Linked DNA regions of Ovis aries. The main gene of each other region encodes a partner of the protein of the gene in region 4 in a complex. Links are inferred from orthologs where the notes say so. Each region holds a gene or a part of one and is shown on either strand. Other genes may lie near its edges. The genes, in order: SNW1, SF3A3, CRNKL1, SF3B2, SF3A1, RBM48 and DDX46.

Region 1 (4,283 bases), on a different chromosome or scaffold from region 4:
GGAGATTCCTTTAAAAATTGCAAATAGAACTGCCTTATGACCCAGCAATCCCACTTCTGGGCATACACACCGAGGAAACCAGAATCGAAAGAGACACATGTACCCCAATGTTCATCGCAGCACTGTTTATAATAGCCAGGACATGGAAACAATCTAGATGTCCATCAGCAGATGAATGGATAAGAAAGCTGTGGTACATATACACAATGGAGTATTACTCAGCCGTTAAAAAGAATACATTTGAATCAGTTCTGATGAGATGGATGAAACTGGAGCCGATTATACAGAGTGAAGTAAGCCAGAAAGAAAAACACCAATACAGTATACTAACACATATATATGGAATTTAGAAAGATGGCAATGACGACCCTGTATGCAAGATAACAAAAAAGACAAAGACACAGATATGTATAGCGGACTTTTGGACTCAGAGGGAGAGGGAGAGGGTGGGATGATTTGGGAGAATGGCATTGAAACATGTATACTATCATGTAAGAATCGAATCGCCAGTCTATGTCCAATGCAGGATACAGCATGCTTGGGGCTGGTGCATGGGGATGACCCAGAGGGTTGTTATGAGGAGGGAGGTGGGAGGGGGGTTCATGTTTGGGATCACATGTACACCCGTGGTGGATTCATGTCAATGTATGGCAAAACCAATACAGTATTGTAAAGTAAAATAAGGTAAAAATAAAAATTAAAAAAAATAAAAATAAAAAAAATAATAAAGCAGAGACATTACTTTGCCGACAAACGTTCGTCTAGTCAAAGCTGTGGTTTTTCCAGTAGTCTGGTATGTATGTGAGAGTTGGACTATTAAGAAAGCAGAGCGCAAAAGAATTCGTGCTTTTGAACTGTGGTGTTGGAGAAGACTCTTGAGAGTCCCTTGGACTCTAAGGAGATCCAACCAGTCCATCCTAAAAGAAATCAGTCCTGAATATTTATTGGAAGGACTGATGCTGAAGCTGAAACTCCAATACTTTGGCCACCTGATGTGAAGAACTGACTCATTTGAAAAGACTCTGATGCTGAGAAAGAGTGACGTTGGGAGGAGAAAGGGATAGGGAATGAGATGGTTGGATGGCATCACTGACTCGATAGACATGACTTTGAGTAAGCTCTGGGAGTTGGTGATGGACAGGGAAGCTTGGTGTGCTGCAGTCCATGGGGTCGCAAAGAATCAGAAACGACTGAGCAACTCAACTGAACTGAAAATAAAGTAACTTAAAAGGCATCTCAACTTCGTTATTATCATGCTTAGGGAATGCTCTATCATGTCATAGTGTAAGAGCGATGCGTTTGGGGTTTTCTTAAGTGAACCGTGTATCCCAGAACTCTGGTTGACAATGGAACCGAATTGTAGTCTTTTTCAAAGAACTACAAGTCCCAGAAGGCCGTTCGGCTAGGGCGCCTGCGCAGCGCGCGCCCCTTCCTTTCCACAGCTCTCCGCCCGGGAAAGGCCCGCCCCGCGGTGCTGTCGCTCGCGCTGGAAGAAGCGGAAGAAGATGGCGCTCACCAGGTGGGTTTGTTGATTCGGGTCCTCGATACGGAAGGGTCTGGGAGTACCCACCTTTTTCATTTCTCTGCCCACACTCCCCGGGCCGTCACCAGGCTCGGGCCACAGAGCATCTGTAAGCCGAGGCCACGGCTGGGCCTTCCTGCAGGCCGCTGGGACGGCTAGGCCTCGCCGAAGCTGGGGTCTTTCCTTAGCGGCTTCCCGGGTTGCCTTCGCCCCCTCGCTAGGGCCGAAAGTCGCGGCGTAGCCAATAGGTCTCTGGCCTGAGAGACCGCGGAGTCGCGCGTTTTTCGTTTGAGCGTCTTGGGGGTGTGGAGGGCTCCGCCTCTGGTCCGCGGCTCGGGTGGGCGCGATGCGAGTGTGTGGAGGGCAGGGGCTTATTTGGGCAGAGTGGAGCGGGCGGGAGACGGCGACTGCCTGGCTGTTTTTTCGCCGAAGTCTTTTCTTCTGTTTCTGTCCTAAACCAGGACTCCTGGAAAAAAAGGGCTGGGGAGAGCGGTACTGAAGGAGATTTAAAATCAAAAGCTACGGTAGTGGCCGCTGTCTGCTAGTTCCCGTCGCTGCCCGCACTTTTAACTTTGGGCTTTTTTAGAATTTCTTCCCTTAGATAGAACCGAGTATGATTTTTGCGGTTCCCGGTTGCCTTGGCAACTGCAAGTGATTAAAGTGGTCCCCGCCTTTAAGGAAAAGATGCTTAAAGAAGAGATTCGAAGGAGTTACGTAACTCCGACCTTGCTGCCCCATCTCAGTAGAAAACTTTACACGCAAACGAACTGCAACGGGAAAAGTTGACTGCCCAAGAGGGTAAAGAAAGGAATCGCGTTAGGACATCTGCCTCAGCTCCCCTGACACTCTTCATTATCCTTGTTCGCCTTTGTCTTGGCTGATGACCGTTATGAACCGTAAAAATACTTGGATGAGAGATTTCTTTTTCTGTCCTAGGGTTTGTGTGTATACAGAAGGAAAATCTGACAGTCTTTGGCAGCAGGGCAGATTGGGGTACAAGGCCTACAGATATGAAACGAAGAATACAGAATGCTTATTATGTAGTACTAGCGTGAAGTGCAAAAAGAATTAGATGGAATGGGCTGAATGAACTGGAGCATTTTCTTTAGTAAGTGTTGCAGGCAGCAAACATGCGAGTGAGTGCCCTCCAGGTGGGAGGCAGTGTGACAGAGACTAGTAGTGTTATGAGGAAACGCTTTGTGGAAAAGATGGAATTGAAAAGGACACAGAGCAAAAATACCAGAGATCTTGTCGGCATTGGGTGCTTAAAATTGCGATAGCAGAGTGCAGTCATTAAGTAGCTTGTCTTGGGGACTTACATGGAGTTTTAGCTGATTTGGTTTCTATAGACAGTTTCAAGTTTCCAGGTGAAGTGTTGTTATCGCTAAGATCTCCCAGAGATTCTTAACAGCAGAGACTAGTAAAAAGGAAAGGATAGACTAAGATGTCTCCACAGCGGCTCTATTGACATTTGGGGCTGGATAATTCATTCTTGTATGGGGCCTCCCTGCCTACATTAAGATGTTCATGAGTATCTTTAGCTTGTACCCAGTAGATGCCAGTGGCATCCCCACCTCTTCTCTTCCCTCTGCTTCACAAGTTATAACAAAATGTTTCCAGGTGTTGTCAGATATCTGCATTGTAGTTATTTTGCCCGCAGTTGAGAAATACTGAGGTAGACTTTTGTTCACTTAAGCAGCCCACCCCTACCATAGGAAAGTACCTCATGGGATTGTCATCCTTTACAGGGAACAGCAATATTAAGACTCTCTGGAAGGCTAGGATGCGTTCTCATTATAATCCAGGCCAGATTACCTGTTTACTAGATTGTCCAAACTCTGCCTTGACAAACTGCCTGCCTTTTGATCATTTTAGTGACTAGAATGATCATTTTCTTCCAACAAAAGGTAAAAGAGAAATGAAACCTAAGTAAATATTTTGGCTTGTTTCTGACTTTGTATCCCTCTATGTGTTAGTATACATGGTTTACTGGAAACAGCTATGGTATAAGCCCAAAATGTTTTGACTCCTTTCATCCATTCATTTGCTTAGTAAATTGCATATGTTGGGATTGCATGGATTGAAAGTACTTTGTGTCAGCTAGTGTTGCTATTGATTCTGTCAGGGACTCTTCTTACCCTCAGAGTTTACATTCTAGGGAAGACAGACTATAGGAGTAAACAAATCAGTAATACAATTTCAGGTAGTAAGTACTAGGAATAAAATAAAGGTATAGAGAGTGACGCAAAGAGCAGGGTGGAATGCTGTTTTGGTCAGGTAACAGCTGTAGGGAGGTATAATTGAGCAGGGACAGGAATACTGAGAAGCAAGCACTAAAGAATCTGATGAAGAGTTTTCTTAATAAGTAAATAGAATACCTATGGCAGTGGGAAAGCAGATATAAGGATACAGAAATGATTTGTTTAAAGAAAAGCAGTAAGTTTGTGACCGAAAAATGATGAGTGCAAAGAGTAGAGTGAAGTTATTTCTCCAGCCAACATTTGAGTAAAGCCCTATTGTGAGCTAGTTAGGCAGTGCTTTAAGAGTTAAGGATTAAAGAAACAGAAAGTGATTCCTGCCCTCAAGTTGCCCACAGTCTAATGAGAGAAAGAAAGATAAATCGATAGTGATTGCAGTACAGTAAGACAGATGTTGTAGTAGTGGTGTGCAGAGGGTCTTATGAGAGCATAGGTGAAGGGTAACTAACTTACGCTGGGGGAATTGTGGAACAGCTCCAAAAAATCAAATGTTTATGGAACAC
Region 2 (4,195 bases), on a different chromosome or scaffold from region 4:
TCGAGTGTACAATTCAGTTGAGTTTAGCAAATTTAATAGATTTTTGCAACTATCACCACAATTCAATTTTAGAATTTTGCTACTGCTACTGCTGCTGCTGCTAAGTCACTTCAGTCGTGTCCGACCCTGTGCAACGCCATAGACAGCAGCCTCCCAGGCTCCTCTGTCCCTGGGACTCTCCAGGCAAGAGTACTGGAGTGGGTTGCCATTTCCTTTTCCAAGAATTTTTCTATCACCTCCAAAAGATTGCTTTTGCATTTCCTTCCCATCTCACCTCTAGCAGCAGGCAACCACTCACCTACTTTCTGTCTCTGTAGATTTGCCATCTGGACGTCCACTAATGTGTGTGTGTGTGTGTGTGTTGTTGTTTTTTTCTGCGTGTCTGCTTTCTTTCACATAACATGATGCTTTCATGGTTCATCCATATTGTAACACTCCTTTATTGCTGAATAATGTTCCATTGTATGGATACACCATATTTGGTTTGTATATTTACCAGTTAATGACTGGGGGTAGCAGCTTTGTTGATAATGAATAGTGCTGCTATGCATGTCTGCACATATGGACATAGGTTTTCATTTCTCCAGCTAGATGTGGGCATATAGACTTGTTTCGGTTTTTTTTTTTCCAGTTATATAATATTTTACTGCTTGAATGCACTATATTTTATTTAACCAGTCCCTTGGGTTTCCCAGGTGGCACTAGTGGTAAAGAACCTGTCTGCTAATGCAGGAGACATAAGAGATGTGGGTTTGTTCCCTGGATGGGGAAGATCCCCTGGAGGAGGGGATGGAGACCCACTCCAGTATTCTTGCCTGAAGAACCTCTTGGACAGAGGACCCTGGCGGGTTATGGTCCATAGGGTCGCAAGGAATCGAACATGATTGAAGCGACTTAGCACGCACGCAGCACTGCTGATAGACAATTAGGTTGTTTCCACATAACAAAAGAGAGGAAGGGAAGGAGAAAGAAAAGAATAAATGAAAGGAAAAAAACCCGCGATCATTCCCATTTTACTGAGGGAAAAACGTTGTCACAGGTCACACTGAGCTGGAGACTCAAGTTCCGGTTCATCAGCTCCCATACGTGCGCGTCAGCTACTCAGTCCAGGTCCCTACCAGCACGGCCGCACAGCTAGGGAAGTCCCCGCCGGCCAGGTCAGATTCCTTAACGCCAGGCTGATGGATTTCTGTGTGCCCCCTAGAGGCACCTGCAAATCGTTCGGTATCGCGCCACACACCTCCGGCCAGCAGGGGGCACTGCAGCAGTCTCCATAGCACGGACTGGGTCTTTAGCGGTGCTCACTTTTCCTCGAGTCCCCGAGGAACTTCCGGCAACCGCGGAACTTTGGTGCCTCCGGACTCGTAACTTGCGGACGCGGGCGCGCAAGGCGGCAGGGGTTGTTTCCGGTCGTGTTGGTGGACTGGCTTGAGCTGGGGCGGCAGCGACTGCGGCGGCGGGGGAGGAGAAGGAGGAGGGAAGATGGAAACGATTCTGGAGCAGCAGCGGCGCTATCATGAGGAGAAGGAACGGCTTATGGATGTCATGGCCAAAGAGATGCTCACTAAGAAGTCCACGGTGAGTGGACCTAGGCAGGGGCTACCGTAAGGCCGGGCCCCCGGCCCGGGTTTAACCTCAGAGTTTTTTTCAGCCCTCAGACCCGCCCCGCCCCGAGCCCTTCGGGGGATTCCCTCCCCGAGCTCAGGCCTAGGTAACCTTTCCCCGGGGCCCAGCGCCCAGAGGCCTCTCTGCTTGGGCTGCTAAGACCCGAGCAGGTAAGCTCCGCCCTCGGGCGGCCTTCCCAACTCCAGAATTCCGACTAACGGCGTATATGTCACCGTTTGCCTTTTTTCAGCTCCGGGACCAGATCAATTCTGACCACCGCACGCGGGCCATGCAAGATGTGAGTGTCCCGCTGTCCGCTTCTCTTTGGGCACGGTAGACTGGAAGAGGAGGGAGGGGGTGCGGGAAAAAGGTAGCCGATTGGCCAGTCGAGGAGTTTGTATGCCTGCCGAATGTACGCGCCGAAAGCAACCCTGAGGATGTTTAACCACCCTTACTCCCTTCTCCGAATGGAGTACTCTTACTCATTTTTAATTACTAGAGAAGATCCCCTTTACAGCATCCTGTGTCCCATGGATGTGCAAAGAGTAGTTATGAGGTGTCAATGCCTCAGGCTTAGAAGGTACTCTCCTTCTCCCCCATAGAAAAAAAAATAAAGACCCTAATCAGAGTTTCTGAATTAGGATAGATAAATATTACTAGCCCCTAATCCCTTATTTAGATTCCCAAATCCAAAGTATTCTGAAAACAAAAGATGTTTTAATTTGTTTTGGAAATTATTTGGTGGCAAAAATCTGACTTGATCTGATCAGATGAGAGGTTTTTTATGGTCTTTATCCCATTCAATAAATAACATAACTTTCACTGCAGAACTAATTAATGTGTTTTCCAGATCCCACTAGGGATATTTCATGTAGTACCTTCCTGAATTCCAAATTCAGAAGCAAATCTGGTTCCAAAAGTTTTGGAGAATGGGCTATGTACTTGTGCCATCCTGAATTTGAATCCAGAGGAAGCTGTGTGGTGTTTTACTTAGCCTGAGCATTCCTTAGTCAAGCCTTTTGAAATAGTGGAAGTCAACTTGGACTACCCTTTTATCTTTGAGAGTCTTTGATGGGAACTGCTGTTTTCCAAAGGGTGACTCTCACATGGCTCTCTTTTACAATACAATACTTCTACTGTTGTTTAGTTGTTAAGTCATGTCCGACTCTTGCAACCCAATGGACTGTAGCTTATCAGGCTCCTCTGTCCATGGGATTTCCCAGTCAAGAATGCTAGAGTGGATTACCTTTTCCTTCTCCCGACCCAGGGATCCAACCCACGTCTTGTGCATTGGCAGGCAGATTCTTTACCACTGACCCATCAGGGAAGCCCATGACTCTTCTAGGGAAAGTTAAATATGGGAACTCTGCCACCCCTCAAAACACATTTCTTAGGTAATCTTCAGAGTGACCTGTTTTAAAAATTAGCTAGGAGCCAGTGTTGTCTGTTAAGGGTACCAGAAAGCATAAGAACTTTTAACACCACATGTCTTGAAGTTTTCCTGAGATTTGACTAGAGAGCCCTTGTTGGTTGCTTGGGTCTCAGTTGTACGGGCGGATTGCTTCATTCTAATGGATTTGTGTTTGCCTTTCAGAGGTATATGGAAGTCAGTGGGAATCTGAGGGATTTGTATGACGACAAGGATGGGTAAGTCACAGTCACATTCAGTCCAGCAATTACTGCTTTTGAGGGGCCATGGTTAAAGGACTGACTTTGTGCTCCATGTTTTCTGGATTTTTTTCTGAAATTGCAGCTTACGAAAAGAGGAGCTCAATGCCATTTCAGGACCCAATGAGTTTGCTGAATTCTATAATAGACTCAAACAAATAAAGGAATTCCACCGGAAGCACCCAAATGAGGTATGACCTTGCAAAGTTTTTTCTCCAGTCCTGTCCAAAGAGTATACAAAGGACATGTGTTAGGAAAATGGAGATGGTCATTCAGATGTCCTTTCAAAAAGGAACTTACCAGTTAGCAATAAGCAGCGTAGTTAGGTGACATCCTGCAACTGCGAGTTCTTTCAGAATTTCCCTCAGCTTTAAGCTAAAGCCATTCTCTTCTAGGGCTTCCCAGGTGGCTCTCATGGTAAAGAAGCTGCCTGCTAATTCCCTGGTGGTTCAGTGGTAAAGACTGCCTGCACTGCAGCAGTTGCAGGTCCAGTCCTTGGGTCTGGAAGATCCCCTGGAGGAGGACATGTCAACCCACTCCAGTATTCTTGCTTGGGAAATCCCATGGACAGAGGAGCTCGGCGGGCTGCAGTCCATAGGGTCGTAAAGAGAGTTGGGCACGACTGAAGCGACAGAGCACACATATTCCTGGGCAGCCCCTAACCAGCGACTGAACACAGTGTGGGGGAGGGGTATCACAGCCTGGTTATTTCTGCCCACTGTGAGACTTTCAGTGAGATTTTCTCATATCTACATCATGGTCTAGGCTCTCTCTGCTCCATCCCTCCATCCTGCTCGCTCTCTCCTTTCTTTTTTTTTTTTGGTGGCCACACCTCATAGTTCATGAGTTCTTAGTTCCCCAAACAAGGATCAGAACCGTGTCCCCTGCATTGGAAGCATGGAGTCTTAACCACTGGACCACC
Region 3 (3,500 bases), on a different chromosome or scaffold from region 4:
GGGGTCTTCATTGTGATGTGTGGGCTATTCTCCACTTGTGGTTCATGGGCTACAGAGCGCACAGGCTCAGTAGTTGTAGCACATGGGCTTAGTTGCTATATAAATCCTTTTCAGATTTATATTTTAATAGGTGAAACATGTTTGACTTCACCTTTTGGGAAGATAAAGCCCTGACTCTTCACGTGTTAACAAAGTTAGAGCCAGAGATTGCCAAAGACCGTTTTTTTCTGAAGTCATTTTGACTGTGACCAATAAGTTCAGATGATTCTATTGAAGGTACAAGTACACGTACATGGAAGAGATGCTCGGGAACGTCGCTGGTGCCCGGCAGGTTTTCGAGCGCTGGATGGAGTGGCGGCCCGAGGAGCAGGCCTGGCATTCATACATCAACTTCGAGCTGAGATACAAGGAGGTGGACCGGGCCCGCACCATCTATGAGCGCTATATCCTTTGGATGGGTCTGCCTGCTGCACTGCTGGGGAGCTGTGGTCTGGCTGGGACACATAGTCACTGATTTTGGCCCAGAAGTCAACTTCTGCTTCATAAGTTGCGTTTATATTTTCTAGGGACATAGTTGTTCAGAACAAAAGTTTGTGGTCGGGATAGTTGTCTCTTTTCCAGGGAGACTTGGGTTTGTTTATCCTTTGGCATTAACACTGTGGTTCCTTATGGAAGTTAATACTGTAAGGCCCTGTTTGCTCTGGGGTGTATGTTGGTCATGGGCACTGGTACTGGAGTTGGTCCAGAGGTTTACTGTTTACTAGCCATGTGATCTCGATGCGTCAGATCACTCCTTGGAGCCTAGGTGTCCTCGTCTTTATTTTCTCAGTTATTTACTTATTTATTTCTGGCTATGCAGGCTTTTCTCTCATTGTAGCGGGCAGGGGCTACTCTAGATGACATGTGCAGGCTTCTCATTGCAGAGCACTGGCTCTAGGCACGCAGGCCTCAGTAGCTGTGGCTCCCACGCTCCGGAGCACAGGCTCGGTAGTCATGGCACGTTGCCTTAGTTGCTCCATGGCGTGTGGGATCTTCCTGGACCAGGGATCGAACCGGTGTCTGCTGCATTGGCAGGCAGATTCCTTAGCACTGAGCCACCGGGGAAGCTCCCTCATCTTTAGAAGGGAGGTAAAAGTCCCTGTTGTGGGCTGATTGTGAGGAGGAAGGAGATGGTGATGGGAAAGCACCCTCAGCAGTGCTTGATTCTTGTTTCACTGTTGTTGTGCTGGTTTATCTCCTATTTGATAGCGTTTATTCATAGATCCACAATCAGTATTGGTGGCACTTTGGCAGTCATTTGCAGACATGCCCAGAGTGATAAAAAATTTGCATCCCCCAAGGCACTTGGTCCCAGTGAAGGACAAACAAGACAACCATCTGCCTTCCTGTCTCTGCTCTCCTGCAGGGCTGACCGGGGCAGGGAGCGGGAGGGGCAGTGCAGGGGAGGGAGACGCCCCAGCTCTGGGCCAGCTGAGCAGGACAGAATTCCTTCTCTGGCACCGGTTAGTGGGCAGCTTTAGGCATGTCACTTAACACTTGAGACTTGTTTTCTCTTTTCTAAAATAAAAGAATTTGCCAATGATAGTTATTTTTAGGATTGAAAATCACAGTCTATGTGAGATGTGTGTGTATTCGTATGTATAGATATAGTATATATGTGGGTGTATATCATGCATACATATTTCCTCTGGGAGCAGCGATTTGGTGTTCTCCAGGCAGAGTGACTTCATAGAGTGTAGGTACCGTGAGATAACGAGACTCAACTTTATTATGTAATTTTAGCATCTTAGCTGTGACTACTCATTTTGATATCACTAGTTTAACAAAAGCATGTATGGCACCTGCTCTGTGCCATGCGTTATGATAAGCACTTTACAGATACTGTTGTTTAATCCCTGTGACAGCCCTCAATTCAGAAGCTGCTTCCTTCTGCAGATGGGGAATCTGAGGCAGGATAGCACCTTTCAGGTGCTGGTGAGGCTGGGATTTGAGCCAGTCACCTTCAGAGCCGGTGCTCTTTAATCATTGCCCAACTGGAACATGTTCAGTTCAGTCGCCAGTCGTGTCCGACTCTTTGCGACCCCATGGGCTGCGTACTCTTTAATCATTGCCCTATTGGAATGTGTTACTACTTTGAAATTTAATGATTTCTTCAAGGAAAGTAGATGAAAAATACATCCTATGAAGAAGTAAAATTGTAATAAAAAATGTCTCTGTTGGCTCTGATTAGTAGTTTTCTTTTCGTGACGTGTTTTTTCTTTCTTTCTTCTTTTTTTTTTTTTTTTTTTTTTTTTTGATTTTCTGGCCTTGCCACACACCTTGTAGGATATTTGTTCTCCCAACCAGGGATTGAATCTGGGCCATGGTAGTGAAAGCACTGAGTCCTAACCACTGGACCACCAGCAGCTTCCTCTTTTTTTCCCTTAAATCTTTATTGGAGTACAGTTGATTTACAATGTTATGTTATACAGCAAACTAAGTCAGTTTTTTATATATATATGTATGTATATACATATATCCATTCTTTTTAGAATCTTTTCCAATATAATTTACCACAGAAGTGTTTTCTGTGCTATACAGTAGGTCCCTGTTATCTATCTTATATACAGTAGTGTGTGTGTGTGTGTGTGTGTGTGCGTGCGTGCCGACTCTTTGCGGCCCATGTACTGTAATCCACCATGCTCCTCTGTCCATGAAATTCTCCAGGCAAGAACACTGGAGTGGATTGCCATTCCCTCCTCCAGGGGATCTTCCTGATCCAGGGATCAGACCCAGGTGCCCTGCAATGCAGGTGGCTGCTTTACCGCTTGGGCCACCAGAGAAGCCCAGTAGTGTATATATGTTAATTCCAGTTTCCCAGTCCATCACTTCCCCCCACGTTTCCCCTTCCACAACCGTAAATTTGATTTTGGGATCTGTGAGTCTGTTTCTCTCTGCCAAACCGTTCATTTGTGTCATTTTGTGTTGTTAAATTTCACCAATAAGTGATAAACGGTATTTGTCTTTCTCTGACTTACTTCAATTAGTATGACTACATCTCTTCTTTGGAGAAAAGTCTACTTAGATCTTTTGTCCATTTTTTGGTTGGGTTGTTTGTTTTTTTGATACTCTAGGTTTATTCATGTTGATGCAAATGATGTTATTTCATTCCTTCTTATGGCTGAGTAATATTCCGTTGTATGTATGCACCACATCATCTTTATCCATTCTTCTGTTGATGGACATTTAGGTTGCTTCCATGTCTTGGCTATTGTAAATAGTGCTTCAAATTAAAATAGTGAACATTGGGGTACATATGTCTTTTGAATTAGGGTTTTCTACAGATGTATGCCTAGGAGTTGGATTGCTGGATCGTATGGTAATTCTGTTTCTAGTTTTTTTAAGAACTTCCATACTGTTCTCCATAATGATTGTACCAAATTATATTCTCATCAACAGGGTAGGAGGGTTCTCTTTGCTCCGTGTCTCCTCCAACATTTATTATTCACAGGTTTTTAGAT
Region 4 (4,213 bases):
CAGGGGATCTTCCCAACCCAGGGATTAAACCCACATCTCCTGTCTCCTGCAGGCAGACTCTTTACCCACTGAGCCATTGGGAAAGCCCAGTAGGGGTCAGGAAATTTCTTCTGTAATGGGCCAGTCAGTAAATATTTTAGGCTTTCTGGGTTGTTTGTAGACTGTTGTAAATTCCTTTCCCCCATCTCCCCGAAACAACCCTTCAAATATATAAAAACCATCCTTACATCACAGGCCATACAAAAACAGGCTATAGTCCACAGATTACCAATTCCTTGGCTATGTGAAAGAAAGAATTATTTGGGAGATAATGGAATTTAGATGAGGATGAGGTAATCTCCATGGGAAACCTGAATGGCACGGCTAATTTTAGACAGTAAGCACTAGAAGTGACAGACGATGGATTAGACCATGGAGGTCAAAGGTTAGGAAGAGGGAGGCATTACCCGCTTCTGCTGCTCCAAAAGCTCATGTTCCTTCAGTGAATGATCTCCCTGCTTAAGAAAGAAAACGAGCTCATTCCAGTACCCACACCCCACCGGCCAGTCTACCACAGCTCTGCTTCCTGGTCTGCTCTTCCAGCCGAGGCCCTGAAGACTTGGGTCCAGACCTTCCCAGAAGCCTTGGCCCCAGGATCCGGCTCCCCTGGAGGCCCTACTCCCTTTTCAGGACCCTGGTGAGACCCAGGCTCAGGCTGCCACCTGCCCTACCTGCTTGGCACGCTCCTCCTGCTGCATCAGCAATGCCGCCTGCTGCTGCGCCAGCTTCAGCCGCTCTTCCTCAGACAGCGCCACGGGCTCACCCACCCGGAGAGGAGGAGGAGGCCCCAAGTTTGGCGGGCGGGGTCCAACTGCCATAGGAAAGCCAAGGCCAAGGCCAGGTGGGGGTGGTGGGGGTGGTGGAGGGGGTTGTAGAGGAGGGAGACCCATGGGTGGGGGCGGCATGGGAATCCCCGAGAGCTGTGGGGGGAAAAAAAGGCCATTAACTATGAAGCATTTATGTAATGGCAGGCATTTGCTGGGGAACTAATATAAGGCTGGCACTGGGATTCAAAGTCAAATGATGCACAATTCTTGCATTCAAGAAAATGCAGGGCTTCCCTGAAGGTCCAATGTTTAAGAATCCGCTCAACGCAAGGCACATGGGTTCGAGCCCTGCTCTAGGAAGATTCCACGTGCTGCGGGGCAACTAAGCCCATGTGCCGCGTGTGCTGCAGCTGCTGAAACCCGTATACCCTGGAGCCCGTGCTCCGCAACCAGAGGCCACTGCGATGGGATGGCCGCACAACACAACTAGACAGTAGTCCTGTGCTCGCTTCAACTGGAAAGGGCCTGCACACAGCAATGAAGACCCAGAGCAGCCAAAGACATAAAGGAAAAAAGAAAGAATACTCTACGGCAGTATCGAAAGAAGAGCATTTTAACTTTGTGCCACCAACTGATGAAAGCTGTCAACTCTGTCCCAGAAGAACATCATGAACACAGACTTCACATACAATTTCAGGAGACTCACGGACACCTCTAAAGGCCTTCTGAAAAACTCCTCAACCCCTCAAAAAATAAAAACCTTCTTATGCCACACATAGAAGTCCCTGGACCCCAAGTCAGGGCCACTGCTCTACAGAAAAACTATCAAATCCTGGATCAGAAAAGACATGGAAATTGAGAGTATTTAAATAAATAAGACCCAGTGTGCCCCAATGACTGATTAAATATAGAAGGTATGAAATTAAATCAGAGAGTAAGCCCTAATTTCTCATTGAATAACATGGGAACTCTGCACAGGGAGGGCAGAGAAGAGAGTGATTACTTCCAGCTGGGGAAGGATTATGTCAGGTTTCCAGATATTTAAGCTGAATCTTAAATGACACATGAAATTTGGAGGAACTGACACTGAGAAAGGAAGTAAGAATCTGGACGAAGGAAGAACTGAAGAGTTCCCAGTTCTTTCATCAGTGTACCTCCCTGCCCAGTGGGCTACGTGTATCCCCCTGTACGCTCAGAGGAGGAGCTACTCTGAGTAGAAAAGAATCTTATCAAGTGAGACAGTCTTCTTACCTGTGCTGACATAGGAGGAGGAGCAGCTTTGTCCCCATCTTCACCTCTCAGAACGGGACGATTCAGGACGATGCCAGTCTGTGAAAGTGAAAAGAATCTAGGGCAGTCTAAAAGGAGCTGGTGCATGAAACAGCGTTCGCTCTCGTCTATTCAACAAAATTTACCCAGTGACTGTCTGCCAGAGCTCGGAATGGGCTCTGGGAAGAAACGATATATACAAAAGCAATTATAACACAGCAGATACGAAGCAGCCAAGACCCCACTTGCTGTACCGAGATTCGTAAACAACGAAGACCGAGTTGTAACGGGTCATTAATGCCTCCTGCAAACGCTCGGCCTATCCTCATGTCCCGCCACCAACACTTACTTGGCGAGTGTAAGCCTGCAATCGCTCCACAAGCTCCTCGCGACTCCCTGCTAAGCAAAGCACAGGATCAACGGGGTAGGTCAGGTCGAGCAGGCCAGCCTGCCCAAGTCAGGCCACCGCGGCCAGCCTCTAACCCCCGCCCCCGGGTCTCCGGGGTAACCAGCTCCGCTTCCCCGCAGGCCTGCACTTTCCTGCCCTTGACTTCCCATGCTCCTCACCCTGGATGGGAGCTCCGATCTCTGCTAATTTGGCCTGAAGCTCCTGGGCAGCCCAGGCACCATAGTGTCCAGGAGGCGGCGGCGGCGGCAGCTGCAACTCTCCCTTAGGAGGCTCCGGATGCTCGGCCGCCATCTTAGCCGCAGGAAGGCGCGCGACCAACCCGGAAGCTCGGACCAGCCTCCGGACCCACTTCCCGGAACTTCCGGTAGGGCGATACGCCACGTCCGCTCGAGGGTTGCCAGGCAGTTCCCATCAGGGCCCACCCCCTACCGTTCTCCAATGCTCCTTAGGCCGCCTGGTCGCGAAGCCTTCTGGGAGTTGTAGTGCACAGGTCACGATCTCTGCGGATTCAAATCCGGGAGGATCGCGGCCGGCCGCGACGCGGGGAACTCTGGAGGCCAGAGCCGGGGCGGGGCTGTGGGGAAAGCAGGTCCTGCCCGAAGGGCGTGCTTTCTGCATCTCACTGGCCTCAGCGCAGACCTCCCGCCTTGCGGCGCTACTCCCTGGTTGGACTTGAGAGGCCTGGACGCTCACGTTCTCCAGGGACTCGTTCCCCCGGCGGTCGCGCGCTGTGGGCGCCAAGCGGGAGTTTGCCGCCGATGCCTGTGATAAAACAGTGTCTGATTGTCTGCCCGCCCATCCCCGGCCCAGGCATGGATGAATGGGCTGAAAGGAGATCGGAGACGGGAACGAAGCCGGCCCTCCGGGCTGAGATCCAGCTGCCGACCTGGGGGAAGGGCCACACTAAAGCCCCTTTTTCCACCTTCCTGGCCGTCTCAAATGTCATCTACGTTAAACTGTCTCCCGCCTTTCCTGCTCTGGAGCGGCCAAACCTCTACCATTTGTTTTGAAATCTTTCTTGCCCTTTTCTGCACTTACAACTCCCAAGACATGAGTTTTTACGGTCTCACAGTACCTGGCGTTAGAAGTGCTCAATGAATTATTACTGAAAGGGGGAAAAAAAAAAAAAAAAAGCAGTCTTAAGCGACAAGATTTGGATCCTTTTTTAGTCTTGAAAATAAACGCAGGGGAATTCCCTGGTGGTCCAGTGGGTCGAACTCAGTGCTTTCCCTGGGGAAACCCGGGTTCCATCCGCGGTCAGGTAACTAAGATCCCACAAGCCGCACCGCAAGGCCGAAAAAGAAAGAAAATAAACTCAGGACCTTTTCTTCCCTCATCCCCACCAGCTTACTGGCGCAGCAGACCCTGTCTGGTGCTCTCCTACCCCACCAGCGGCCTGTGCCCCTGAGGGAGGGATGGGCAGGTGGCCCTTGCTTGCCCCCTTCTGCTTCTCCCTGTCCTGATCAGTCAGTTCAGTTCATCTTCCCACCTCTGCCTCCAGCTCTGAGATCCCGTTCCCATTCTAGTGCTGCTGTCTCACAGACAGCCAGGTCGCAGCCAGTGTGCATGTATGTGTGTTGGATGAGAGAGCGGGGCAACTCAAAATGGTCTCTATTCCCTCTCCCCTCCCTCCACACCCGCATCCCTCAGATCTTCTCTCTAGCATGCTCTATTTCACGAATCACCCCCAACAGAGCAGTACCTGGGAGGAGGGAAAAAAGAATGGGAG
Region 5 (3,500 bases), on a different chromosome or scaffold from region 4:
TTGTGTCCCCCATCACTGGGGAGAAGATCCCTGCCAGCAAGATGCAGGAGCACATGCGCATTGGGCTTCTCGACCCCCGTTGGCTGGAGCAGCGGGATCGCTCCATCCGTGAGAAGCAGAGCGATGACGAGGTGTACGCGCCAGGTAAGGCGGGGTGTTCCCCACTCGGACCACACTCCTCCTTTGACTCAGCCCTAACTCACTTTGGCCCATTGGGATCTCTTAAGTTAATAGTCAGCACGCTTTAATCAAATGTAGAAAGCTTTGAGGTCACCAGGAGCTTTTGAGGATAGGTGTGGTCTAGGAAGCCACAAAAGAACCGCCCGCTTCCTAGAAACCCTGCAGAGGATTCCTGCAGAGGAGGGCACCCGAGGTGGGTGGCGTGTGCCCATCGGCATCCTGGAGCAGGATCTGACTGCAGCCGGGAGGGGTGCTCACTCCCAGGCCGTCTTAGAGTAGAGGCTGTGGCGGCTGGAGGGCGCTGAGCATCTTGAATTGAGACACACTGGCCCCTTGACTGTGAGGAGCAGCCCTGCAGGGAGGGAGGGACTGTCCCGGAGGCTGGAGGCCCCTCCCAGAGTCCGCACTCTCCCCCTTGCCACGCTGCTCATGTGGCCTGTCCGCTCGGATGCCTTTCATCAAGTGGGGGTTGGACACGCCCCGGTTTCCAGGCCTAGTGGTCGTCGGCCTTCCCCAGGCTCAGAGGGCCGGCGCGAGGCCCTGGCACCCACAGACAGCTGTGTCCCGTAAGAACAGCCTCCACCTGCACCAACTGAGCCGCCATCTTGTTGGACTGGCACCGGGTTTAGTTTTCCTCTCTGTTCCCTGATTCTATCCAGGTCTGGATATTGAGAGCAGCTTGAAGCAGCTGGCCGAGCGGCGTACGGACATCTTTGGTGTGGAGGAAACAGCCATCGGTAAGAAGATTGGCGAGGAGGAGATCCAGAAGCCGGAAGAGAAGGTGCGGCTCGGTGACTGCCTCCGCCTTTCCTGCCAGCACCCCACTCACGCTCAGTTCCAGGAGCCCTGACCAGTGTGGCCTTGCTTCCCGTGCAGGTGACCTGGGACGGCCACTCTGGCAGCATGGCCCGGACCCAGCAGGCCGCCCAGGCCAACATCACCCTCCAGGAGCAGATTGAGGCCATCCACAAGGCGAAGGGCCTGGTGCCAGAGGATGACACCAAAGAGAAGATTGGCCCTAGCAAGCCCAGCGAGATCCCCCAGCAGCCGCCACCGCCGTCCTCAGCCACCAACATCCCCAGCTCGGCCCCGCCTATTACGTCGGTGCCCCGGCCGCCCGCGGTTAGCCCGCAGCCACCCCGACGGGCCCCTGAAGTTGGGTTCCCTGGGTTGGATGGTGCCAGCCCAGGGCAGTGGTCTCACAGGAGCCCAAGGGCAGAATGGGTCAAGTCGAGAAAAGAACCTTTTAGTTAGAAGTGGGAACCTCCAACCTGGCCTTCCATTTGTGTGGGAGGGCTGGAGCTGGGAAGGAGGCGGGTGGCAAATGTGAGAAGCAGGCTTGGGTCAGGGAGGCCAGGAGGACTGAAGGGGCCTTGGAGGACCGCTGGCCTGAGTCCAGTGGACTGAGTCAAGGGCATCTTCAGTTTCTCTCTCGTGGGTGGAGTCCGAAGTGGCAAGAGTGTCGCCCTGGGTCTCTCTCCGTGTGGTTCTGTCAGAGCCCCATGTGAGGCTGCGCTCTCAGCTCCAGGCTATCCAGCGCCATCCCCAGAGGCTGCAGGGGGTCAGCTGCCGGCTGGTGTGCCCTGGGGTGTAGCCTTGGCTTCCTGTGACCCGTGGGTCCCTTCCGCCCGCAGATGCCGCCTCCCGTCCGCACCACGGTTGTGTCCGCGGTACCCGTCATGCCCCGGCCCCCGATGGCATCCGTGGTCCGGCTGCCCCCAGGCTCGGTGATCGCCCCCATGCCGCCGATCATCCATGCACCCAGGATCAACGTGGTGCCCATGCCTCCCTCGGCCCCTCCTATCATGGCACCTCGCCCACCACCCATGATTGTGCCGACAGGTCAGTGTCTCATGTCGCTTTCCAGGCCACTGGGTCGGTGCTACAGGGCAAGCCCTGAGCAGGGCAGTGGCTAAGGGGAGCACCAGCTGTTCCAGCTGTGGCTCCAGCCCAGAGGAGAGCCTTAGCTTAGCTCTGTGAGAGATCCCTGGGGTGCAGGGGCTTGGGCTCCTGGCTCCTGGGGGAGATAGGCTGATGAGGCAGAGCTGGGGTATGTGTGCCCAGTGGGGTCAGGCCTGGACGGGCGCTGAGGCCTGACGATGGATCCTGTGGGCAGCCCCTGCTCCTTCCATCAGTCCCGCCCTTCCTCCAGCTTCCTGCTACCCAGTCTGGGCAGGTGCCCAGGTCCTCTGCCGGGGAGCTCACTGGCTGCCAGACTCAGCCAGGAGTGGTCTTTCACGCCTCTGACGGGGAGAAGGTGGAAACCTGTGCAGTCTCCCCTCACCGTCAGCCCCCAGGGTCCTGGGTGCCTTCCTCCCATTCATGTGGCTGCTCGCTCCTGCCCTGCAGCTTTTGTGCCCGCCCCGCCTGTGGCACCTGTCCCTGCTCCAGCCCCCATGCCGCCTGTCCACCCCCCGCCTCCCATGGAAGACGAGCCTGCGTCTAAGAAACTGAAGACCGAGGACAGCCTCATGCCCGAGGAGGAGTTTCTGCGCAGAAACAAGGCATGTGACCCAGAGTTGCCCACATTGCAGTGTCCAGACAGGTCGGCGGAACCATCCTGCCCGTTACATGCCTTGGCCCACCCTGAGCTGCTCCCGTGGTTTTGGCTGCTGGGACCTAGGTCAGCTGCTGGAGGCCCAGGAGGCTTCTGAGGCTTCCAAGTGCCCAGCATGCCTAATGTGGGGTCAGCCGTCAGCTGTCAGCGGCCCCCCTGGACCCAGCTGCACAGGCAGCCGGACTCCAGTATGAATGGGGCTCAGGACGCAGGAGGAAATCCTGGGGACAGTTCTTCGTTTCTTTGTGACCTTTGCCTCCAGTTGCCGCCCTCAGGAGTCTTGTATTGTAGGGATCCTGTTGGGGTACTAGGAACAAGAGCTGGGAACCTCGGCACTTCCGGGGCCTGGGGAAGCTGGCAGGCTCTAGTGAGGAGGCAGAAACAGTCCCAGCCCCACTGCCCCAGGGCATTTGAGCAGATCTTTTTTTTTTTTTTTTTTCATTTCTGACAGTAGTTTCCATTTCTTGAGTACCTACTCAAGTGCTGGGATAGAACCACACCTTTTACTGAAGGCTCGCAGCCTCACCGGCCAGCAGTTGTGATCAGCCGCTTCACTGAGTTGGGAACCCAGGTCTTCTGACCTCACAGTTCATGTTCTTGCCCCTGTGGTTCTTCTTGAGGCTTGCAGAGCACTTGCATGTCCCTTCTTCAGCTCCAGCCTCACTGTTAGGCAGGTTAGGGATCATTCTAAAGAAAGAGATCAGTTCTTGAAAAGGGGAGTGAGTTGCTCGATGTCACAGCTGGTGTCAGTAGTGAATCAGGC
Region 6 (4,258 bases), on a different chromosome or scaffold from region 4:
CCAGAGGATTCTTTACCACTAGCTGTCACCTGGGAAGCTCCAAGAGACTCTCTATAGTAAAAGCAACAATGGCAGGATCTATTGAAATTAACATGCTTTGAAAGACTGGGGAAAAACAATCTAGAAAAGTAGTTAAAGGCAAGTAGCTAAAATGGAGAGGTGGGATATTTAAAATTATTGCAAACTCCTAAATATTTCCTGCAAGGATTAGCCCGTAGTGGGTACTGTGCATCCAGGATTTTCAAAGATTTCAAGTATTCTTTTTGTCCTCATAGCACACTCAAACTGGTAGACCAGGTGCCCCTATTTTATAATTACGAAACTAGGGATGTGGTTAGAACTATGAACTACCACAATCACAATGTCCAGAGGGCAACTAACTGCAGAGGTCCAAGTATGCATAATCCCACTGCACGTTCCGGGCACACCTAGGAGGTATTCCGAGCAGCGGAGACGCAGCGAGAACCTTCATCTTATTAACCTATCTCGCTCGCGGCTCAGTCTCTATTAATTTACAGGGACTCCTGGGCCACAGCCAGGCAGGCGCACCTGGAAACCACTGGCAGGAAAAACGTTTTTTACGATCGAAACAAAACAAAATCCGCAGACAAACCCGACTTCTCCAAAGCTTTTCCAACCTGGAGTGAGGAATAGCTGAACTCAGAGAGAAAATTATCAGGATGTTTGAGAGCCCAGTTTCACCGAGTGAAGACCTGGAATACGTACGGCAAGTTAACGCAAAGGCCCGGGGCTGCACCCGACGTGGTAGGGCTGCAAAGACCGCCCGGACCGGCCCTGCTCCAGAGCGGCCCACGTTCTGGCTGATGAACAGGTCGGCGGCGCGGGGAGAGCAGCCCGCGTCCCGCCGTCGGGAGACGCCCGAGCGGCCGCTGCGTCCCGAAAAGGCCTGGGTCCCGGGCGGCCGCAGACGGCCCCCGAGGAGTCCCGAGTCCGGGCTGGGGAGTCCATGGGGCGGGCGCGTTACCTGGAGCAAGTGCAGCTGGGCCACTAGGCGCCGCGGCAAGTGAAGGAAGCAGTCGCGCGTGCTGGTGAAGGCCACGGTCACGGCCGCCCCGCCAGCAGCACCCGCCAGCCGACCGCTGCCCCACATCCTCCGCCAGCGACGGCCCCGCCGGAGGCCCACCCCAGCGGACCCGGGCTGCCTGCGGACCGAGGGTGACCGGGCCTGCTACGCTCGATCGGCCCCGCCCCCAGGCCCCGCCCCTCGCGCCCGCCGCGCCTCGGGAGCTGGAGCGGCAGGCCAGCCCAGTCCGGCTCGCCGGGCCTCTCCGCCGCGCCGCTGGAGGGCGGCAGCTCGCTCGCCGCCTACTTGCTCACAGGAAACGATGGCCAACCCTGTGGCTCCTTCAGCCAATCTCGGCGCGCCTTGACCCATCCCTCTCTCTGATTGGGTAATCAGGAGGGCAACAGGCGGATGTTGTCGTCTCTGCGAGGGCCAAAGCCGGCAAGATGGCGTCCAGTGGAGGGCAAGTTGGGGGCGTATTCGATCACCACGTCCAAAGGGCTGTGTGTGACTCGAGAGCCAAGTATCGGGAGGGCCGACGGCCTCGCGCTGTGAAGGTAAAGTGATTTTGGTTTCATTCGTTGTCGTCGGTAGCTTTATGTAAGCTGTAGCTTCACACGCCCAGTTAATGTAAATAAAGTCTTGAAAGGCTGCGGTCACATCCATTTGCTGGAGATGAGTGTGAGGGACGCCGGTACCCAGGTAGCAGATACTCTCGCGGCCTCTTTAGTCAACTGTTGGAGCTCCGTGAAAACGGGGTATGTGTTTTAGTCGTATCTTCCGTGTTTACAGTAGTGAATATTTAACTCTTTCCTGTAACATTTACCGAGGCAGCTTCTGAAGACATGTCGATTGGAGGTAGTCTATTATGTGCTTTAGCTCGAAGCCCTCACATGTAGGGTGACTTATTGTTTCTACAAAGAGAAGGGCAGATTAAAAACAAAAACAAAAACACCTTTTCTGCAGACCTGAACAGAGTAGTTCTTGTTTTCAGGGTTTTTGTTTGTTTGTTTGTTTTGAATAGTAACAGGTTGTCCTAGGCTTGTTTGTGAAACACATTTAATGCGTGTGCATTTCTTTTAGGTCTATACAATCAATTTGGAGTCTTGGTACTTATTAATACAAGGAGTTCCTGCCGTGGGAGCAATGAAGGAATTAGTTGAGCGATTTGCTCTATATGGTGCAATTGAACAGTATAATGCTCTAGATGAATACCCAGCAGAAGACTTTACAGAAGTTTATCTTATTAAATTTCTCAATTTACAAAGCGCAAGGTAATATACAAGTCAGGCAGTGTCTCATTTCCTCTGTTCCCATTGCTATCATTTTGGCCTCCCTCATTCTTTCATGAATTACTCAGTAATCTAACATGGCTTTTTATTTTTCTCCAGTATTCTTAATGTAAGTGTTAGCTTTATCAAAAGTCTGTCCATTAGGTCATCCCCATGTGTAACCATTTTCTGTCTTGTAGTGTGGTAGATTAAAAACTGGGTTTGGACTAAGTTTTCAGGTTCCACTGCTTACTAACATGATGACCTTGGACAAGTTATTTAATCCCATTAAACCTGTTTTCCTGTCCTATAAAATGTGTAAGGATGAAATGAGATAATCCATGTAGAGGGCTTAGCAGATGCCTCCTGCTCAGAATGCGGTAAACAACATTAGCTGTTAGGTTTCTTGTTATGCACCTATATGAATTGACCCCATCTTTTTTTTTTTTTCTTCTGAATAGCATAAATCCTCTGCTGTAGTAAGGGAAATATGAAATGCCTCATCTTATATTCTTGTCACTAATTTGCTTCAAGACCCATCCCTTCCCTGGCTATTACAATTCACATTTTCTGTGCTACAAACAGTACTGGGGTATATGGGTCATATATTGTTCTCCAGTTGCTCTTATGTATAATCTCACTGCCCTAACCAACTTGCCAGCTCCTCATGGTTAGGGAAGTATATTTCCTTATTGTGTATTCATTCCATGAAGCTTTTGCATCTCCCACACCCCTTTTACAGTGTGACATGTGGATTTGAATCCTGGCTCCACAAACCAAGGTGAGCTTGGACAAATAATCTCCCCATGCCTCAGAGTCATCATAGGGATGTTGAGAAGTGTGATTTCAAGTGAAGCATTTAGGCCACTGCCTGGCACATGGTAAAATCTCAGTGAATATTTCTTACCATTTACCTTGGACACAGAAGTACTTAATTTCGTAGTAATTCCTGGCCAGTCATAGATGTTTAGTAAGTATACATTAAATGAATACTATCCTCTCCTTTTCTCATTTACTGTTATATATTTGTGTTTTCTCCATTATTAAATGTTTATAATTGTAATATTTTTATTAATTTCTTATCTTTGAACCCCATTATAGGAACACATTGTGCTAAAAAGGCTAAGCTGGGCATGAGCTAATTTTTGAGGGCCTTTTAACACAGAATCTCTATTTCATGACCACAGATTGTGTACCTCAGGCCAACCAGCTGAATCTTATGTTGGTTAAAGGGAGTCTGGATATGTTTGGAAAACTTAGCTTAAAACCTATGAAGACTCTTGGGAGAGGGGGAAAAAGGCTCTGAAAGAATATGCAGTGGATCAGTAGGGTCAATACCATTCACGTGCAGAGCATCGCAGCTCCGAAGCTATAGGATTTATGTATACAACAAAGTCTGGACTTTGCTTTTTAGATCAATGCATTGTATGCTGGTTAAGCTTTCACCCTAAGTAAACCATGGTATCGTGAATTTCTGCTTAGGATGGCCAAGAGAAAAATGGATGAGCAGAGTTTCTTTGGTGGCTTGCTTCATGTGTGCTATGCTCCAGAATTTGAAACAGTTGAAGAAACCAGAAAGAAATTACAAGAGAGGAATGCTTATGTAGCAAGAATGACTAAAAATAAAGGTATGTAAAGCCTACTACTAAACACCTCCAATGTGTCAGGCATTTTGCTGAGTTTACCCTCCTAGAGTTTTCCCAGTCTAGTGACTATAAGCTACGAAGTTTTTTCTTTACAGAATGTTATGTAATCTTGCCTGGGAAGGGATAGATGTTATTTCATGGAAGATTCCTGCAGGATGAGAATGGTGGCTGAGTTCTGAAGGGAAAGTAGACATTACCCAGAAAGGGAGAGGAACAGATGGAAAGATGGGCCAGAGGAATAAATGAGCGTCATGCATTTTAAGGAACTGTGAGTAATATAACCACAACACAGCAGCTGACATGTGAATCTGAGATAA
Region 7 (3,500 bases), on a different chromosome or scaffold from region 4:
CTTACATGGAAGAAGTGAAAGAGGAAGTAAAAAAGTTTAATATGAGAAGTGTGAAAGGTGGTGGGGGAAATGAAAAGGTATGGGATTTTTTTCCTATTTTATTTTTAAAGATTTATATTCCTAGTTGAATAACTTGAATTCATTGTTGCATTGACCTACTATTGGCTTGCATGGCTTTATAAAGTTAATGATTTTGTTTCCTTCTGCATCTCAGAAGTGTCTGTGCTTTTTCTAAAGAGCAGAGATACTAGCAAATTGTAACTGCAAATGTCCTTTTAGAGTCATCATTACTATTATCATCTTTGTTTAGTGTTTTTGCTTGCTTGTTCCTTTCTCAGTAGGTCCTTTTCCAACACTCCCATATTTTATACTCCTGATCCTCTTTAGTCTAGGTTTTCTTTTTCTTAATAGAATTTATTGACAAATGGTGTAATTCAATGTTGTGTTTGCTTGTTCCTTCTTTCTTCTAAAATCTTCCCAAGAGCAGTGATCTTTACCTGTTTTGTTTATTGATTCATCTTCAGATCCTGGGATAGTATTTGGTTTGTGGAATGAGTGAAAAGTACTATTTAATAGTATTTTAAAAATAGATTACATAATATTATATAAAATTACATACTACATACCTAATTACCTGTGTGTTAATGTGTTAGGAAATATAATGCTGTTGTATTACATTTTTAAATTTAAGTAAGGAGAAAGTGGGCTACTGTTTGTTTTTGCATTAGTAGTCACTGACTACTAAGTTAATTCAGATTATAAATTGTTACAGTTATCATTGTTTCATTTGGTTTATACTTTGTGTTTCAACTTTAGCAAAATATTTCACATTCTTTTTTTAGAAGTCTGGGCCAACGGTCACAAAAGTTGTCACAGTTGTCACAACCAAAAAAGCAGTCGTAGATTCTGATAAGAAGAAAGGTGAGCTAATGGAGAATGACCAGGATGCCATGGAGGTAACTTTAATTTTAACTTTGTTCACGATACCATAGAATGAAACAGCAGCCCGCTCCAGTATTCTTGCCTGGAGGATTCCATGAACAAGGGAGCCTAGTGGGCCATGGTCTGTGGGATCACAGAGAGTCGGACACGACTGAGCACACAGCACGTGGTACCATCCTATGAGTATTTATAAGGAAGCATTGATGGAGGTGTGCTTTTCAGTTACGCAGTGTACTCTTGGGAGAAATTCTTGCTTTTCTCAACAGTATTGTAGCCAGATATCCAAACTGGTAGAACATTTTAACCTCTTTAACTTCTTGTATACCTACTTTTTTTTAAATTGAAGTATAGTTGATTTGCAATATAGTATTAGTTTCAAGTGTACAGCAACGTGATTCAGGTATACACACACATACATATTTTTAGATTCTTTTTCATTATAAGTTATTACAAGATATTGCATGTAATTCCCTTTGAAAGTGTGAAAAGTGAAAATATTAGTCATTCAGTATGTCCGACTCTTTGCTATCCCATGGACTGTAGCCCACCAGGCTCCTCTGTCCATGGATTTCTCAGGCAAGAATACTAGAGTGGATAGCCATTGCCTTCTCCACGGGATCTTTCTGACCCAGGGATTGAACCCAGGTCTCCAGCATTGTACAGTAAATCCTTGTTGCTTATTTTATGTATAGTAGTTTGTATCTATTAATCCCGCATTCCTAATTTATCCCTCCTTCCTATTCCCCTTTGGTGGCCAGAAGTTTGTTTTCTATGTCTGTGAGTCCGTTTCTGTTTTGAAAATAAATTCATTTGTAGTATTTTTTTGATTGCACATTCAAGTGATATCATATAGTATTTATCTTTCTCTGACTGACTCCACATGGTATGATGTTGTCTGGGTTCATCTGTATTGCTGCACATGTGTAGGCCAAATTTTGATTCATCCCTGTCCCTCATCAGTACATCCCAGATGTAGAATAGGGAGAGAAGAAATGAAGTGACAGAATGAAATTTTTTACTATTAACACTCACTGTAATGATTTATATAGAGAAAACTTTATTGTAATGATTTATATAGAGAAAACTATAGCAGAACTTCATTAAAGCTATGTTAGAATTAGTTTTTTGTTTTAGCTTTATATTGTTACTAAAGCTTTCTATGATGGCAAAGAAAAAATAAGCTAAGTTGGAAAGTTCAGAAAATAAAAGAAGAGGAAAAGAGTATTTTCTAGGAGTGGAACATTTTTTAAGTTAGGAATATTTCTTCCCATAGGAAGACAGTAATAGATTCAGCTCTTAGTTTTTCTCTTTTTGTTACAGTATTCTTCAGAGGAGGAAGAAGTTGATCTTCAGACAGCTCTTACAGGTTACCAGACAAAGCAGAGAAAGCTTCTAGAACCAGTGGATCATGGAAAAATTGAATATGAACCATTCAGAAAAAACTTCTATGTTGAAGTTCCAGAATTGGCAAAAATGTCTCAAGAGGGTAAAATTTGTTTATTCATTTATCAGTTATTTTGGGGATGGGGGAAATATACTTCACCTTGCCTGGGAGGCATGTTGATAGGCCTGTAAGTTGATGGGTAAGTAGGAGAAATGTGCCTGACTTACTTGGAGAAATGAGAGTGAACTAGAACATGAGAAATCATTCTAGAGAGTGAGACTGCTACATCCACAAAGATTAGGAATAGTTAGAAATTAGTGTGTTTTGGGAAACATTTTTAAAAAATGAGCAAAAATGAGTTTGGCTTACATAGTTGAGCTATTTAGGGTTGAAAATACTCTTCATGTGAAGTTAGCAAGTAGAGTATTGTTGTTTTTCTCTTATTTGAGAATTAGAAACCAATATGAATCTGTGTGATATTGACGGAAAAAGCGTGATCTGGGCAACCCTTGCTTAAAGAACAAGTGGTTGTATTACTTGTGAATCACTGTTCTTTTATTGCTGTTAGAATTTAAGTCAAAATAAAAGCCAAGTTGTAGAAATTGGGGTGTTTCTTTGCACCCCAATTGGTTGCAACAGTAATCACTTTGTCAGAGCTGTTCAGTGCATTGTCATGGAGCTTCTATATGGAATTATCTTTGGGAACACTAAAAAAGAATTGATTCTTAATACAACCATGCCTCATTGAAAAGTAGAGGGCACTAACAGAACAATATTTAAGAGTTTTTAATCTGGATTTTGTTTTGTAGAGGTGAATGTATTTCGGTTGGAAATGGAGGGCATTACTGTCAAGGGTAAAGGTTGCCCCAAACCAATTAAATCTTGGGTTCAGTGTGGAATTTCTATGAAGATCTTAAATTCTCTAAAAAAGTAAGTGTTGAGCGGTTGTCCACATTTTTCAATATCTTTCTACTGAAAATAACCTGTTACACAAATAATTCCTTAGCTTACATTTTTATTCTAATGGAAAATACTGATTTTTTGTTAAACAGCTTTCTCTAGATATGATTTACATTCCATAAAGTTTACCCTTTAGTTTACGATTTTCAGTATATTTATGAAGTTGTGTAGTCATTACCATAATCTAATTTTAGAGCGTTTTCATCAAACCCAA

Evidence for each region.
Region 1: SF3B2 (region 4) and SNW1 share a complex: the UniProt entries of both Homo sapiens proteins name them as parts of the minor spliceosome. The link is inferred for Ovis aries from reciprocal best matches to the Homo sapiens genes SF3B2 and SNW1.
Region 2: SF3B2 (region 4) and SF3A3 share a complex: the UniProt entries of both Homo sapiens proteins name them as parts of the 17S U2 SnRNP complex. The link is inferred for Ovis aries from reciprocal best matches to the Homo sapiens genes SF3B2 and SF3A3.
Region 3: SF3B2 (region 4) and CRNKL1 share a complex: the UniProt entries of both Homo sapiens proteins name them as parts of the minor spliceosome. The link is inferred for Ovis aries from reciprocal best matches to the Homo sapiens genes SF3B2 and CRNKL1.
Region 5: SF3B2 (region 4) and SF3A1 share a complex: the UniProt entries of both Homo sapiens proteins name them as parts of the 17S U2 SnRNP complex. The link is inferred for Ovis aries from reciprocal best matches to the Homo sapiens genes SF3B2 and SF3A1.
Region 6: SF3B2 (region 4) and RBM48 share a complex: the UniProt entries of both Homo sapiens proteins name them as parts of the minor spliceosome. The link is inferred for Ovis aries from reciprocal best matches to the Homo sapiens genes SF3B2 and RBM48.
Region 7: SF3B2 (region 4) and DDX46 share a complex: the UniProt entries of both Homo sapiens proteins name them as parts of the 17S U2 SnRNP complex. The link is inferred for Ovis aries from reciprocal best matches to the Homo sapiens genes SF3B2 and DDX46.

What each region holds. Positions count from the first base shown.
Region 1 is NC_056060.1:87,037,638-87,041,920, reverse strand, and holds the start of SNW1 (SNW domain-containing protein 1), read left to right. Parts: upstream 1-1,483; 5' UTR 1,484-1,505; coding exon 1,506-1,519; intron 1,520-4,283. UniProt on the Homo sapiens protein: Involved in pre-mRNA splicing as component of the spliceosome. As a component of the minor spliceosome, involved in the splicing of U12-type introns in pre-mRNAs.
Region 2 is NC_056054.1:12,733,427-12,737,621, reverse strand, and holds the start of SF3A3 (splicing factor 3A subunit 3), read left to right. Parts: upstream 1-1,395; 5' UTR 1,396-1,482; coding exon 1,483-1,578; intron 1,579-1,855; coding exon 1,856-1,903; intron 1,904-3,199; coding exon 3,200-3,252; intron 3,253-3,358; coding exon 3,359-3,464; intron 3,465-4,195. UniProt on the Homo sapiens protein: Component of the 17S U2 SnRNP complex of the spliceosome, a large ribonucleoprotein complex that removes introns from transcribed pre-mRNAs.
Region 3 is NC_056066.1:39,174,976-39,178,475, reverse strand, and holds part of CRNKL1 (crooked neck-like protein 1), read left to right. Parts: intron 1-276; coding exon 277-443; intron 444-3,500. UniProt on the Homo sapiens protein: Involved in pre-mRNA splicing process. As a component of the minor spliceosome, involved in the splicing of U12-type introns in pre-mRNAs.
Region 4 is NC_056074.1:40,571,743-40,575,955, reverse strand, and holds the start of SF3B2 (splicing factor 3B subunit 2), read right to left. Parts: upstream 2,801-4,213; 5' UTR 2,776-2,800; coding exon 2,643-2,775; intron 2,475-2,642; coding exon 2,425-2,474; intron 2,136-2,424; coding exon 2,058-2,135; intron 960-2,057; coding exon 711-959; intron 498-710; coding exon 447-497; intron 1-446. UniProt on the Homo sapiens protein: Component of the 17S U2 SnRNP complex of the spliceosome, a large ribonucleoprotein complex that removes introns from transcribed pre-mRNAs.
Region 5 is NC_056070.1:69,349,454-69,352,953, reverse strand, and holds part of SF3A1 (splicing factor 3A subunit 1), read left to right. Parts: coding exon 1-144; intron 145-839; coding exon 840-961; intron 962-1,056; coding exon 1,057-1,302; intron 1,303-1,814; coding exon 1,815-2,022; intron 2,023-2,529; coding exon 2,530-2,684; intron 2,685-3,500. UniProt on the Homo sapiens protein: Component of the 17S U2 SnRNP complex of the spliceosome, a large ribonucleoprotein complex that removes introns from transcribed pre-mRNAs.
Region 6 is NC_056057.1:10,622,543-10,626,800, forward strand, and holds the start of RBM48 (RNA-binding protein 48), read left to right. Parts: upstream 1-1,458; 5' UTR 1,459-1,470; coding exon 1,471-1,581; intron 1,582-2,107; coding exon 2,108-2,298; intron 2,299-2,304; exon of another isoform or gene 2,305-3,002; coding exon of another isoform or gene 3,003-3,076; intron 3,077-3,777; coding exon 3,778-3,923; intron 3,924-4,258. Other genes in the region: peroxisomal ATPase PEX1, read right to left, coding at 986-1,111. UniProt on the Homo sapiens protein: As a component of the minor spliceosome, involved in the splicing of U12-type introns in pre-mRNAs.
Region 7 is NC_056058.1:43,902,225-43,905,724, forward strand, and holds part of DDX46 (probable ATP-dependent RNA helicase DDX46), read left to right. Parts: coding exon 1-77; intron 78-842; coding exon 843-956; intron 957-2,262; coding exon 2,263-2,428; intron 2,429-3,135; coding exon 3,136-3,256; intron 3,257-3,500. UniProt on the Homo sapiens protein: Component of the 17S U2 SnRNP complex of the spliceosome, a large ribonucleoprotein complex that removes introns from transcribed pre-mRNAs.